Nothobranchius furzeri: one gene and its partners. The protein of the gene in region 1 purifies or fractionates together with the protein of each later gene. This does not show direct contact. Links are inferred from orthologs where the notes say so. Each region holds a gene or a part of one and is shown in the gene's direction. Other genes may lie near its edges. The genes, in order: cdyl, ehmt2 and mier1b.

What was found.
Region 2: the proteins of cdyl (region 1) and ehmt2 purify together in Homo sapiens (affinity purification with mass spectrometry; 4 studies listed by BioGRID and IntAct, with this or other methods). This does not show direct contact. The link is inferred for Nothobranchius furzeri from reciprocal best matches to the Homo sapiens genes CDYL and EHMT2.
Region 3: the proteins of cdyl (region 1) and mier1b purify together in Homo sapiens (co-immunoprecipitation; 3 studies listed by BioGRID and IntAct, counting the BioPlex papers as one, with this or other methods). This does not show direct contact. The link is inferred for Nothobranchius furzeri from reciprocal best matches to the Homo sapiens genes CDYL and MIER1.

The regions. Positions count from the first base shown.
Region 1 is NC_091751.1:33,809,789-33,814,354, forward strand, and holds the end of cdyl (chromodomain Y-like protein), read left to right. Parts: intron 1-1,805; coding exon 1,806-2,059; intron 2,060-2,210; coding exon 2,211-2,383; intron 2,384-2,455; coding exon 2,456-2,666; intron 2,667-2,736; coding exon 2,737-2,880; intron 2,881-2,957; coding exon 2,958-3,116; 3' UTR 3,117-3,303; downstream 3,304-4,566. Other genes in the region: rpp40 (ribonuclease P protein subunit p40), read right to left, coding at 4,086-4,284, 4,354-4,488, 4,556-4,566.
Region 2 is NC_091759.1:8,508,854-8,514,743, forward strand, and holds the start of ehmt2 (histone-lysine N-methyltransferase EHMT2), read left to right. Parts: upstream 1-1,811; 5' UTR 1,812-1,883; coding exon 1,884-1,910; intron 1,911-4,340; coding exon 4,341-4,422; intron 4,423-4,522; coding exon 4,523-4,666; intron 4,667-4,826; coding exon 4,827-5,122; intron 5,123-5,208; coding exon 5,209-5,275; intron 5,276-5,695; coding exon 5,696-5,778; intron 5,779-5,890. Other genes in the region: zinc finger and BTB domain-containing protein 12, read right to left, coding at 1-102, 1,518-1,530. UniProt on the Homo sapiens protein: Histone methyltransferase that specifically mono- and dimethylates 'Lys-9' of histone H3 (H3K9me1 and H3K9me2, respectively) in euchromatin.
Region 3 is NC_091751.1:68,470,189-68,475,329, forward strand, and holds the end of mier1b (mesoderm induction early response protein 1b), read left to right. Parts: intron 1-1,538; coding exon 1,539-1,666; intron 1,667-1,951; coding exon 1,952-2,079; intron 2,080-2,303; coding exon 2,304-2,590; 3' UTR 2,591-3,783; coding exon of another isoform or gene 3,784-3,814; 3' UTR 3,815-3,881; downstream 3,882-5,141. Other genes in the region: nucleotide sugar transporter SLC35D2, read right to left, coding at 3,784-3,814, 3,882-3,944. UniProt on the Homo sapiens protein: Transcriptional repressor regulating the expression of a number of genes including SP1 target genes. Probably functions through recruitment of HDAC1 a histone deacetylase involved in chromatin silencing.

The DNA.
Region 1 (4,566 bases):
CTGTCTGGTTGTTTTTAATATTGTAAAGCGCTTTGAGCTGCATTTGCATGAAAAGCGCTTACCAGGTTAAGCTGTAACTGCTGTCTCAGCCACAAGTTCTCAGACTCTGAGGTGAGGACGTGCAGACAGGAGGATGGAAACTAACCCCTTCTTTCCACCGGATGAGAAACGTACTACACGGTAACTAGTAGCCAATGAAGTGAGTGGGTTCCTTCACCAGCAGCCACAGGTGGCTTTGTGGACATGTCCCAGAAGGAATGTATGCCATTGTTACGTTTCAAGTCTATATTTTACACGCTGTGCTTTCAAACACGGCAAACTCCACAGTTCAGATCGAGCCAGACAGGAAGTCAAACACAAAAGCAGCGTAAAACATCTGGAAACTTTCAAAATAAAAGTAACATCCAGTACGTTCATTCCTGTGAAACCCCGTAGCCGGTGCAAACGGAAGAGGCCTTTTTGGAGACATGCAGTCGTCTTTCTCCGAGCGTTTTATTGTGTGGATGTATGAAATAACGCGCAGTGTTGCAGTTCTCCCATTATGTTTTGACCTCACGGGATCAGCTGTGTGGAACGCTTTCGCTCCTGCTTCACATCAGAATCGTTTCCGGTTGGGAATGAGCTTGCAGGGAAAACGCAGCTTTTACATTTCTCCACGTTTCTGTGGCCGGTGGAAAGCCGGGTAAGTTCATCATCAGGCCTCTCTTCCCTCTGAAGCTCGTCTCTGATCTGGAGCCCGCCTCCCCAGGAAGTAGGTCACTAACAGCCACTTCCTCCTGGCTGCAGGCCTAGAGCAGTTGGTTTCATGCTGCAGATAAGAACACGACCTTCAGGTCACAGATGTCTGCTCTAGTCCTCCACTCGCACTAGAGTGGAGATTCTGACTGATTACTTCTGCGTTGGGACAAAACACAAGAGTCCTGTCCACAGACACGCGTAATGGCCAGCTCGGGATAGGTGTGTTGGGACAGGTGTGGTGGGTAAAGCCTGGTTTATGCTTCTCCGCCTGCGTCAGTGCGGAGACACGCAACGTCCTTGCGTAGGGCTCCGGCAGGCACGCAAGTACGTACGGAGTCGAGCCCACTTTTTTAAACATCTGTCGAACGAGACGGATTACGCAAGCTTGTGATTGGTCAGGACGCAGCTGTTGTTTACAGCGCCGCCATTGCAAAGAGAGCCGAGGATAACTAGCGGCAGACACGGAGAAGCTTGAAGAATACCTCGCGAAAAAACTCTAAAAATATGAACGTTTCATCTTCCCGTGACTGGAGGAGTGAAAAGATGTGCAGCAAGCATTTTATTTGTGGACGGAAATGACAGGAAACGTGGGTTTAGAGGTGGGGAGCGCATGAAGCGGTGGGAGAATGAGAGACAAATATGTCCATGTTAAAAGTGTCTTATATACACAAAAAACACAATACAAACACACTATCTTGGACCGATACATGACAGGATACCACAGAACAGCGCTACGCCCTCTGCTGTCCTGCCGGGCAATTGCTTTGCAACACTCTCCAGGAGACGGAGAAGTAAAAGAGCAAAATGCTTCCGTCAATCTGTGCGTGTCTGTCCATTGCGGAGCTGACGGAGAAGCATAAACCAGGCTTTAGTGTATGGTGCACCTACCTGTATGACACCGGTTTGAATCCCAGTCTCAGCAGCACCTTTGGCCTGACATTCCGTTTTAGAGATTTGAAGCCTTTATTGGTTAAGTGTCAAATAAAAGGACTCATCTGGTTTCTACTACTTTTGTTTATGTAGCTAGTTAATGAGTCAGTAAGAAATGACAAAGTCTTTCTCTCCAGGACATGCTGGACCTACAGAGGCTTTTGCCCCCAGTGGGATGTCATCTGGTTCCAGTGCTGTTACCGGGATAACCAGCGTGATGGGGAAGCGGCGCCTGGAGGAACGCTCCACCTTCGATAAACGTCTGAGGTTCAGCGTCCGTCAGACAGAGAGCGCCTACCGCTACCGTGACATTGTGGTGAAGAAGCAGGATGGCTTCACTCATATCCTGTTGTCCACCAAGAGCTCTGAGAACAACACGCTCAATCCTGAGGTAAGGCCACAACCACAATGCCATGGTGGTCAGAGGGTGAGTAGATTCACTTAGACCACACCCACAAAAATCTATCAGCCAATTCAGGGTACATGGCCTCCTCTTGACCACACCCGCAACGTGCTTAGAACTGTTGGACTGGTTATTTCAGGTGATGAAGGAGATCCAGAGCGCCATGGCGACAGCGGCGTCTGATGACAGTAAACTGGTTCTGCTCGGTGCAGTTGGCAGTGTCTTCTGCTGTGGCCTTGACTTCCTGTCCTTCATCAGACGGCTGACAGACGACAGGAAGAAGGAGAGCATCAGGATGGCTGAAACCATCAGGTGACTCCAGGGAGATGCTGAGTGATGTCCTCCTCACCTTGTCCCTGTCTCACATCCTGTCCTTATCTTCAGGACCTTCGTAAATACCTTCATCCAGTTCAGGAAGCCCATCGTGGCAGCAGTGAACGGGCCGGCGCTCGGTCTCGGTGCTGCCCTCCTGCCACTCTGTGATGTAGTGTGGGCCAATGAGAAGGCCTGGTTCCAGACGCCGTACACGTCCTACGGACAGACACCAGACGCCTGCGCGTCCTTCACCTTCCCTCGTGTCATGGGTCTCGCAGCGGTGAGTCTCCTCCTCACTGTTCCTCTGACTTTTTCTCCTCGCCCTTACTCTACCTCTGACCCCTCCCCAGGCCAGTGAGCTGCTGCTGGGTGGCAGGAAGCTGACGGCCATGGAGGCGTGCTCTAAAGGTCTGGTGTCCCAGGTTCTGTGGCCCGGAACCTTCACACAGGAAGTGATGCTGCGGGTCAAAGAGCTGGTGGCTGTCAACACGCAGGTTTGTCTCCCCCCCCCCCCCCCCCCCCCACACACACACACACACACACACACACTAAGCTGATTCTGGTTCTGCAGGTCCTACAGGAATCCAAAGGCCTGATGAGGAGTGCCAGCCGTAGTGCCCTGGAGCAAGCCAATGAGCGTGAGTGTGAAGCTCTGAAGAGAGTGTGGGGATCCTCACAGGGAACCGACTCCATCCTGCAGCATCTGCAGAGAAGAGCCGATCTCTTCTAGAACCAGGACCAGTCCTGTTTTCCGTTTCAGGACGTGGACATGTCTCGTCTCACTCGGTTATTTATTGTTATTCAGGATATAGACACATCCCGGGTTCCTCAGGCCCCACAGCAGACTTGAGTTCCACCTTTCCATCCTGGTTCTCTACAGAACATGCAGGTTCATGTTGTCTTGCTGGGCCGTTGCTGCTTGGGTCAAGTTCTCCAAGTGCTTCAGGTTGATGGCTAAACCGGGCCTCGGGTCGCTGCTGGTCCAGAGGAGAGTCATGCTCTAGCAGTGATGAATTCTGGGTAAGGGTATCTTCCTTAGGTTGAGATCATGTGACTCTGTACTGCAGTGCTGGTCTCCTGGCAGCAGGTGTGGCTTGGTTCTGCCGGTACCAGTCCGTTCAGCTGATTTGTTGCTGTGCTGAGCAGTCTAAAGAAGTTCTGCTCAGATGGAGCAGAGCCGTTCTGACAGCAGAACTTCTACATGTAATAGAGAATAAAGTCCAACAGAACTTTTCCCTGTTCTGGAAAAAAAACGACTGTTTTATTCACTAATCACACATGAGCCACGTTACCAAGGTAACACCACATGTCCACGAGCCACGTTACCAAGGTAACACCACACTTCCACGTGAACCACATTACCACGGTAACACCACACTTCCACGTGAACCACATTACCACGGTAACACCACATGTCCACGTTACCACGGTAACGCATCACTGGGATCACGACAGGAAGCTGTTGTTAAATTGTTGTTTTATTTTCAGGTTTACTCATAAATCGGGAGACAAACATTCTGCTCTGAGGTCAAAGGTTACAATCCAAAGAAAAACTCAGGTAAAGGTTAAAGGTCGCTCCAGGGAGCTATGCAGAAAGAAACCATGCAGCACTGTTGACCCATTTCCTGTCTTGGGGCAGATTTTTTCTATGACAACAGTAATTCATCTTGGTGAGAGGGTATGTGACCCAGAGGTCACCTCATGGTGGACAAGTGTCATATGCTCCTGTGGCCAGGTGGAGGTGGTAGGTGTGGTCAGGGAACATCAGCAAGTTGTAGAAGTTCTCCCCTCCACTCAGAACCCCGTGCTCGTTGTCCCCCCATGATACTGGACTATCGATGAAACCGTGAACCGTCAGTGAAGCCCAGGACTCCAGCTGAGTTTGCTGCAGGTGACACCTGAAGCACAGGTGAGTTATTTTGTCGTCAGCTGTTCAGGTAAAGGTGTGCTTGTGTGAGAGAGCTAACCTGAGCTCCTGGATCAGTCGCTGCACATCGTGTGGCAACAGCAGGCCACAGATGGACACGCTCAGAGCATGACTGAGCACGTCATTGGGCTCTGGACAGGTGAACGATGACAGGAAGCTGCTGGATGAGCTCTCACTGAAACCACAGAAGAACGACTTGTAGTCACAACACTTGGACACGTGACCCTGACTGGACCACTCACCAGCTGATGTC
Region 2 (5,890 bases), on another chromosome or scaffold:
TGGTGATGTCACAGAAATGTTGGCGAGACCTGAGTAAGTTCATGTGCTTCAGGGTCACGTCCCCGTGTCCGGGCAACCGGAACAACACCATCTCCATCTTTTCTAAAAGGCGAAACAACAGAAATGTTTCTAGACTCTTGTAACAAACTAGCAAAAATAAACACAAAAGCGCAGTTTTCAAAGGGTGAGGTTAAAGGGGAAAGAGCTTTTCTAAACAAGACTTACAGTAGGTTTTAGTAGGATTTCACATGAAGATCCTAAAAACCACACATCGTTCCTAGTTCAAGAACAAAACATCCGCTTGTCTCGCATCCTGATATCCAACAAAACTTTTGGGGGAATATTTTGTGAGATTAAGAAACAAAAAGAGGACAATTTCTGCAAAATGTCTGAAAACTGGTGTTAAAAACAAACGCTTCACCATAAGGACAAACACGGTGGTGGTAGTGTGATGGTCTGGCACCGCCTCAGGATCTGGATAATTTAAACCCAGGAATTCTGCTCTCTACCAGTAAAGCCATAAAGAACATAGCTGACCATTGACCTGAAACAGGTCGTTCGTGATGGAAAATCCTCCACATGTGGCTGAAATGAAACTATTCTGTAAAGAAGAGGGTCAAAGTTCCTTTAAAGTGATGCAAGAGACTCAGTATACAAATGCTTGACTGCAATGGCAAAGGGTGGGCAGGGGTCAGTTACTTTTCCCATATGAGGACCAGTTTGTTTTGGATCACTTTATTTCTCTTTAACAAATTAGATCAACATTTAAAACTGTTACTCAGCTTATCATTTTCCAACATAAACAATTAAAAGCACTAAGAATATGTATAGAAGAAAAAAACATTTACTGTACTCTAATGTTATAAAGCATAAAAACAACAGGTATCAAGTAGTTATAATTTTTTTAACATAAAACAATAGTTTTCCTTACACAGTGTTAATGCTAATTAAATTTTGAACAGGTGTTTGTGAAACTGTTTATTACACTGCTATTTATCACAAACACTTCCTGACTATAGATACATTTGATACCTACATAAAGAAACTTAAATAGAAATGTTATGGCCATACCAGAGAGCTAGCTAGTGCTGTTTTCATTCAGGAAAAGTAAAGTAACATTACTTCTTTCAGCAACAGATTACTTTATTGTCCAACATATTACAGCTCTGTAATCCAGCGATGATGGTATCTTCTCTCACAGCTGTGACCATAAGTGGAAGGTGAAAAAGTAGCCTCCCTTCCATGACTGGGCGTTTAAAAAGGCCGAAAAAAACACACATGAATGGTTTAACTTGTCATATATTTTATAACCTTTTGTTGACTAGCGTTATTATACTAACTGGCTTAGATAGATGAAAATTTTGAAATCCTTTGTTTTAGCCCAGCTAGCTGAACCAACTGAGCGTTAGCTCCTGTTAGCTACTATAAAACAGATGGCTATATTTATCCACTATTGTATCATCTGGAAACCAGGTGCCGAAACTCCACAATTATCCTCAAACTTCGCCGAAACTCACCTTGGTCGTTCATCTTTTCCCGCGAATTCCGGGTTTATTTCAGCAGCACGGCCGTTAAAATACGCTAACTGACCAACACATTCGACACATTTCTCAGCCACAACCTCGATTTCTGTTTACTTTTGGGCCCTTTTTTTTTAGCAGGAAGTACTTCTCGTGACAACAAACTACAAACCGCTAGCGGTTCGCCACTAAACTGACTTTGAATCGGTTTACGTCTTGGACCCACTCCCTCAGAAAACCGTAAATTTAGAGCACGCCAGCTGATTTCTGATCAGCGATTTAAAATCAATGGACTCCGAAAGGGGCGGAACTCGAATTGTGACGTAGCACGTTCAAAAATGTGCCTTACGTTCATTGGGAAACATGTCGGCATCCCAGACAACGACAAAGGTAGCAAACGTACTGGAACTCAAAGGGCTTGTTATTGAAATATTGCTCATTTATTATCTTGTAGATGCATCGTGTTATTTAGCAAATCTGTGCTAATGATACTGTCATTTGCAACAAGCATACGTTTGTACTTGTCGGGTTTTATACCTTTTTTATTACAAGCTAATGCTAGCCAATGTTAGCCTTTTTAGTGTTATGTTAACTAAATTAACGAGTAGTTATGGTGCTTTTTTATGGTCGTTTGACTTCTTACATAATCTGCAAATTATTTTCTTGAGGTGCAATGTTACTTTAAAAAGCGAATGAAAGTCTATTTTAGGAAGCTAGCTAGCTGTTTTGTTGTATCATTTAAATAATAACTTGGTTTTAAGCTAGTTTATTAATCCTTGTAGTGTATGGACTACTTTTTATGCTAGAACGTTATTTTAAATCATGTAGATTTCCAGAAAGTTTGCTGTAAATTACATCTTGTTAGCTGTTTATAGTTTATTTGTATTTTCAAATCAATAATAATAGTTTATTAAACCTCCTGTGTTATTCATTTGAATGGGCTCTAATTATTAGGCTTAGTTAGAGTTGGATATGTGGCATTTACCTGGAATTAAGATCACAATCAATCAAGAAATCACTTAAATATGAGCTGCCTGACACAGAGAAGTAGACCAAAAGCACCTCAAAAGGTAGACATCATGCCAAGATCCAAAGAAATTCAAGAACAAATGAGAACAAAAGTTATTGAGATCTATCAGTCTGGTAAAGGTTATAAAGCCATTTCTAAAGCTTTGGGACTCCAGCGAACCACAGTGAGAGCCATTATCCACAAATGGCAACAACATGGAACAGTGGTGAACCTAACCAGGAGCGGGCGGCCGACCAAAATTACCCCAAGAGTGCAGAGACAACTCATCCGAGAGGTCACAAAAGACCCGAGGACAACTTCTAATGAACTGCAGGCCTCACTTGCCTCAGTTAAGGTCAGTGTTCACGACTCCACCATAAGAAAGAGACTGGGCAAAAATGGCCTGCATGGCAGATTTCCAAGATGCAAACCACTGTTAAGCAAAAAGAACATTAGGGCTCGTCTCAATTTTGCTAAGAAACATCTCAATGATTGTCAAGACTTTTGGGAAAATACCTCGTGGACTGATGAGACAAAAGTTGAACTTTTTGGAAGGCAAATGTCCCGTTACATCTGGCGTAGAAGTAACAGCATTTCAGACAAAGAACATTATACCAACAGTAAAATATGGCGGTGGTAGTGTGATGGTCTGGGATTGTTTTGCTGCTTCAGGAACTGGAAGGCTTGCTGTGATAAATGGAACCATGAATTCTACTGTCTACCAAAACATCCTGAAGGAGAATGTCCGGCCATCTGTTCGTCAACTAAAGCTGAAGCGATCTTGGGTGCTGCAGCAGGACAATGACCCAAAACACATCAGCAAATCCACCTCTGAATGGCTGAAGAACAACAAAATGAAGACTTTGGAGTGGCCTAGTCAAAGTCATGACCTGAATCCTATTGAGATGCTATGGCATGACCTTAAAAAGGCAGTTCATGCTAGAAAACCCTCAAATAAAGCTGAATTACAACAATTCTGCAAAGATGAGTGGGCCAAAATTCATCCAGAGCGCTGTAAAAGACTCGTAGCAAGTTATCGCAAACGCCTGATTGCTATTGTTATTGCTGCTAAGGGAGGCCCAACCAGTTATTAGGCTCAGGGGGCAATTACTTTTTCACACAGGGCAATGTAGGTTTGGATTTTATTCTCTCCCTTAATAATAAAAAACCATCATTTCAAAACTGCATTTTGTGTTTACTTGTGTTATCTTTGACTAATGGTTAAATGTGTTTGATGATCAGAAACATTTTGTGTGACAAACACGCAAAAGAATAAGAAATCAGGAAGGGGGCAAATAGTTTTTCACACCACTGTATGTTCAAGAATCAACATCTAAACATGGTCTCCTGTAGTAAAGAAGTGGTCAACAAGAATGTATGTGCTTATGAGGCATTCATACTGACAAAAAGACAAATACATAGAAATCCCAGACTGGTTCTTTCTGTTTGACGTGTTTATTTTCTGAAATTGGAGCTTTTTTTTTAACTGTTTTTGTTTATTTTAAAGCCACAAATAGCTTCCAGCAATGCTGATGGGTGGTTTAGTTTCAAGAGCTTTAAATCTACGTAATGCAATTGGAATGTAAAAAAAAAAAAAAAAGCAATTACTGGTGAAAACAAATAAGACGAATAAGGAAGGTGTTTTTCCACTAAATTATTTTAGTCGGCCGAAATAATTGCAGTTTTTAAAGGAATTGTTAGGAAGCAAAATCTGTTTTAGAGGTAGCTCAAAGTTTGACAGGATGAAATACTAGAGATAAATAGTTTTAATCTTTATAAATCGAAGTACACACGTTTTTCTTCACTTCCAGGATTTTCTTGAAGAAGATGAGACAAAAACACTAACCGAGTCAACGGCAGGTTCAGGGGAGGTAAAAGAAGCTGCTGATGAAGGTACAATTTATTTCATTTAATTACAAATGTAATTCATTAATGTGTCTCTTTGTGTTTCACTTCCTGTCACTAAAAATAACTTGTTTTGAATGTTTTTTAGATGATGCTGCCAGCATTACAGATCCAGTGGATGGTGTGTCGTTGGAGTTGATGACCAGTCATCCTGAGAAGGAGACTTCCAGCGCTGCTGAGGATGGAAGTCAGCGCTCTCCTGCTTCCTCCCCACCTAACAAACCTGCTGCAGGTGAAACTCAAAACCAGTCTTTGACTAAGCTCCTGACTTAATCAGGTTCTGAAGAGAATTATTAAAATTTGACTGTTTTTTTAACGTAGTGATCGCTTAGTTTAATCTTTAGTAACATGTTTTTTCATCTTCAGTAACAGTTTGTATCTCTTCTTAACAGGTCACGCAGCAAAGTCCATTTCCTCAATGTCATCTTATCCTTCCACCTCTTCATTTTTTTCCCCTGGTCGGGCAAAGATGAGCGTTTCCGGGCCGTCTTCTTGTAAATCCGTCCTCCCACCTGGCCCTTCCTCCTCTTCCTCTTCTTCATCCTCCTCCTCCTCCTCCTCCTCCTCCTCTTCTTCCTCCTCCTCTTCCTCTTCATCTGGCTCAGCTTCGTTGACACCTTCTGTCTCCCCGAGTCCACACAAGATCCACCGGGCCCGTAAGACCATGAACAGGCCTTCACCCGGCCAAGTAATGACTTCTGTTACACATTTTTATTCCCACAATTGTTTGTTGTTTTACTTTTTCTGAAAGGTTAGCATTTTTTTATTCGACAGGTGAGTTACGCTGAGACTCCTGCTACGTCGGGTTCCTCCACCTGCTTCTCTACTGACTCTGAAACAGGTAAGTTCTAAACTTCGATCATATTTACTCCTCCGATTGTTCTCCAGCACTCGTAATTACAGGTCCTCTTCTACTGTGTGGTTTTTAAATTAATTCAATGTACGCCGATCACTTCAGCTGGTTTTTGGATTGTTCGTACCGACCTGCAGCTTTTGGTTGAATCAGAAAACTAGTTTTCATGCAGAAGTCTCAGTTGGCACCACTCTGCTCAGGTGTTGCATGGCAGAATGAGCCAATCTTTGCCTCCTGATTCGGCTATATCTCTTAAACACATCGTTGCAACACCAACATGTCTTTTAAAACTCAGAAAATGCTCCTGAAATCTTGTTTTCCATGTAAGTTTGACTGTTTAAAAAACTAAAAAGGCTTTTTTTTCTCTTATAACTGTCACGCTTTGTGTTGTTTTTCTGTTTCCACCAGCTGCTAGAAAGAGAAAACTGGGTCATGTATCAGAGAGTAAATCTGAGAAGGGCGACAGCGTTTCAGAAAAAGGCCAAACTGTGGTAAGTTGATGTCTTCGTGTTTGATTTACTGGGGGGGGGCCGTAAGCATTTGAACACCTGAGGAATCGGCAGAATTCTGGCTCAAAGACATTTTACTCTAACTTCAAAGTCC
Region 3 (5,141 bases), about 35 Mb from region 1:
ACGTCCGCCTCTTTTCTTAACTTGGAAAAAATAACTTCCAGACAACAACGGAGTCCGTGTCGCGGACATTTTTCAGAGATCGTCTCTGCTGCGGCTGCCCGGTGGCACCGGAAACTTTACAAAAGTTGCGGTAAGCTATATTTTTAACATTTATGTAACATCTGTGCAGCGCTGAAAGCACCAGACAGAATAATTCTGTGCTCTAACAGTAGTTTATGAAAGTAGTCGGACAAACGAGAGGCACCTGGCTGCCGCTGGGAGAACGCTCCGTGTTCTCACTACTCTAAACAATCACAAACAACGTGTCTTTAAGTTGAAAACAGAAGTTTCAGTTAAAACAGAAACACTCTGAAACTTTTCTGATGATTTTCTAAACAATTCTGTCGGGGAATTCTATGTTTCTGAGACGAGTCTCTGTCTAAACATCACATGCATTACTATCATTAAGCAGCGAGGTGTGTTGAAGCTGTCATCAGCTAAGGGGCGGATGCTTAAGTGCATCAGGGGCAGCGAGGAACGAGGAAGTTGTGTTCAGGCTGGAGATCACACCAGATTCGCTGCTGCTGGCGGGAATCTGCGGGTCTGCAGCATCCCCTTCTTAACGTGACATCAGGACTTCCCATGTAAGGAAGGTCCGCTCACCTGTTCGTCAGATCATTATTTCATCGCCATGATCTTTTATCTTCCCATCCACCTCCAGTCATCCAACTGGAACCAGTTAGTGTTCCTGATCATTCGCAGAATATGCCATGCCTGCTCTGGTGTTAAAAGTTAGCTCATTTAAGTCCTAGATCATATCTGTGCCTGCTCTACTGTCATTTTGAAGGATTATTATTTATGTGTTTTTACTACATTATGAGTAGAAATGCTAATAAAATCTCCCAATTATACAAACAAGTAAAACTGGAAAAATTAGAATCTGGTGCAGTCAAATTTATTTCAGTCATTCAACTAGACAGAGAGACTATTTAAAGTCTCAGGAACCCTTTGCAGGTCTTTTCTATTTGTAATTATAAATTTTAGTTTATTTGGGTTTTGTTTCATATCACACAGTGACATTTGAATAATTAAAATGCATTTTTTATTAAAAGCTTTAGTTTACAGTAATAACCATGTCTAATGTTTGATTCTCTATCTCATAATTTTAATTAAAAGTTTTACTTTGAGAGCACATTTTCCTGAACGATTAAAATGCGATTAATTGAGATTAATTAATTACAAAGCCTGTAATTAATTAGATTAAAATTTTTAATCAAGTCCCAGCCCTAATATATATATATATATATATATATATATATATATATTTATATATATATCCACACAGTGCAGCCGGATGGTTGTGTCTCTTAGGACTCAAGGCATTCATTCACCAGAGAGCACAGCAGATTTATTGAAATGATGAGTGAACGAGACCTTTAAACATCTGTAGTTGTAAAAGTCATCATTTGTTTTGTGTCTGATTTGAATTTTGTCTAACTTTCCTCTGGAAATGACTGTAATAATGGTCATTTTTATGTGTGCTGAATTAAATCTTTCAGGTGAGAACTAGGTCTGTAGGAGAATGTGTGGCCTTTTATTACATGTGGAAGAAGTCTGAGCGTTATGATTTCTTTGCACAGCAAACCAGACTCGGAAAACGGAAATACAACCTTCATCCTGGTGTCACGTAAGTCCTCTGTCCTAGAGCCAAACGTTCGCCCTAACCGCGCGCGGGGGGGGGGGGGTGGGGGGGGGGGCAGTGTGTTACATTTCCAACATCTCTTGAACGCAGCTTTATTTGTAGTTGTTAAACTGTTTTCTGTCCGGTGAATCGTAATTAAATACAGGCCGGATTTTTCTGAATCTGTTTGGAAATGGTTCTGTGGAAGGGATCACACACACCTTTCTCTAAAGAACTGGCCTGATGTGTGTGAGTGTGTGTGTGTAAGCAGTGTGCACTGCTCTGTTTCAGAGATTACATGGACAGACTATTGGATGAGTCGGAGAGCGCCACCTCCAGCAGGGCGGCGTCTCCTCCTCCCACCACCTCCAGTAGCAGCACCAGTCAGTCAGAGAGGGAGGACAGCAGCAGTCAGAACGGTGAGCAGACCACACAAAACATCACGATGGTTATAATTCACGGGGCTTTGTTGTCTCAGAGCACATTTACATCACACACAAGTTCCAATCATGGAAACGCGACTATTATAAGATAAAAGCCTTACTGTCACCAACCGTGGAATCACCAGGTCACTATTGGTGTTTCTTCGGTTGACCTGCGACCTTTTTGTTGTTATTGACCAATAATCTTGTTTCTTTGACAGGTGTTGTAGGTCACCCAGTGGAGGGTGCTCCAGTGCTCCCAGCAAACCCAGTCAAACCAGAGAGAGTTCAGTCCAATGGCTCCTCTCATCCAGCAGAAGCTCCTCCGTCCCTTCCAGACAACAACTCCAACGGCTGTAGCCACGACAGAAACGGTTCCCTGGAGCCGCCGCTCGACCATACCAACACGCCAGCCGCGGCGCCTGACAGGCCTGCCAAGAGGTGCAGGACGGAGGCAGAACCTTTGGAGCAAAGCGAGGCAGACCCATCCAGAACACACGAGGACTGAAGGCTCCAAGACTCAGTGAGACTCTTGACTGGGTCGTGTAGCGGAGGATGAACCTCGTGAGCTCTCTGATCGTAGGAGGTCCAAAGGGTACTGAAACCACAGCTGGAGGAAAGCAGCCAACCAAACCCCACCCCCTCCCAAAGTCACGTCTCACTAAAGATCTACATTTCTCCAGAACAGCTGTTGGCGCAGCAAAATTTTAGCGAAGAATATTTCTTTCATTTTCTACTAAAATAAAAGCGTGATATTTTTTTACATGAGATATTTATATTTTTTAACCAAAAGGACAAATCTAAGGATGGATTGCGGGTGCCGGATCCGTGGAGGGCTTGAAGGGTGGGCACAGCTGTAGTTGCACTTTTTGTAGGTTTCTGTGATGAGGATTGACTCCAGCAGAGTCCGCTCACTCCTCCCGTCTCAGCTGTTTGGTGGTGGTAAATAAACCGTGGGGAGGAGTCGCCCCCTGCTGGTTTGTTTGTGAAAAGCAGCTGGCATCAGTGATGTCCTGTATTATAACTCAACACGTAGATGTTTGTATTTTCCTAGTCCACGCTTTGCTCAACACTTTGTTTGTACTAGACCGAAAGTTTGTGACTCTACACGTAACGTTTGTATAGATTTCTTACCTTGGAACAGTTTTACTTTCTCCTCGGAGAAAATCTTCATCTCCGTATTTTCTCGTCTTCCTCGTAGGCCTTGCTTCAGAGAGGTGAAACTTAAGAGCTGAATGTAAAATAAAATGATCCATTCCTCTGGTTTTGGTAGTACCGCTGCTGCGTGTGGAGGTCTGCTGCAGAAACGCCACTCCCTTTCAGTTTACAGTCAAATTCTTCTGGCCCGTTTGAGCGAGAAGCTTCAGCCGACAGACGCGGAAGACGACCTGTCCCCGTTTAATTTGTACTCTGCTTTGGATTTGTTTGCTTCACGTAGCCTTTTCTGATTTAAATGTGTGTTTTTCCTGCATAAATGACAAAACTTCCAAGAATTTAACGTTCATGGAATAACTTTGTATTTAATAAATGTACTGATGAATGTGAGTCGTTTTAAGGTCCAAACAGGAAGAGACACACACACACAGTAGGAGATAAAATATTACATTTATTATATAAAAATTTACAAAAGGCTGATATTGTTTCATTAAAAATTCTTGGTTGATTTAAAACAGAAAAAGAGCACGTGGTGGTTCTTCAGCATCATGACGCTACTCCAAGACTTACAACTTTTCTGTTCAGGAAGAGACGAAATGTTAAAAGCTGAATTAGAGATTCTAATAAAGGATTCTGGCTCCTACCTACTCTGACGTGTGTGTTCCTGTGTGAAGGTGATGTAGGAGTAAACCAGACTACCAGCGATGCTGAAAGAAACCAATAACATGAGGTCACCATAGTTCATTCACACCAGGCACGATGGCTTCTGCCTGTATTTGCACCAGTGTTCATCTTGGTGAGCAAATAAATCTCTTCTTTCCTTTAGTTTTCTCTCGGAGTGGCACTAACAGGATTCCATATTTTATAATAAGATACAGGGATGTGCATTTTTGAAATTCTGGCGATACGATACATATCACAATACAGGGGAGATGATACGATATATTGAGATACATTCAGTCAGACGTTATAAGCAGTTTTTTTTACTGAATATATTGTAAGAATGTTCAATAAACAGTCCAAACTGATACGTAACATGTTTAACATGAGGTATTTGAACATAATGGAGGGATTTACATTTCAATGGTGGAAACAAAACCTATTGCACACTGCTGCCAACTAGCGGGCGGCGATTGAATTGCACAAAATGAAAAGAAAATACACAAATGTTTGCATGTAAATTCTTTCAAGTATTAGACACACGGCTTTTGAGTATCGATGTAATAATCACAGGAAAAACTATCAAGATATATTGCCATATCGATATTTCGGACACACGGCATTTGAATATCGATATAATATTGCTGGAAAAAATATCACGATATATTGCCATATCGATATTTCCGATACACGGCTTTTGAATATCGATATAATATTGCTGGAAATAATATCACGATATATTGACATATCGATATTTCCGATACACAGCTTTTGAATATCGATATAATATTGCTGGGGAAAAATCACGATATATTGCCATATCAATATTTCTGATACATGGCTTTTGAATATCGATATAATATTGCTGGAAAAAATATCATGATATATTGCCATATCAATATTTCCGATACACAGCTTTTGAATATCGATATAATATTGCTGGGGAAAAATCACGATATATTGCCATATCAATATTTCTGATACATGGCTTTTGAATATCTATATAATATTGCCGGAAACACTATCACGATATATTGCCATATCGATATTTCCGAAACACGGCTTTTGAAAATCAATATAATATTGCTGGAAAAAAAATCACGATATATTGCCATATCAATATTTCTGATACATGGCTTTTGAATATCTATATAATATTGCCGGAAACACTATCACGATATATTGCCATATCGATATTTCCGAAACACGGCTTTTGAAAATCAATATAATATTGCTGGAAAAAA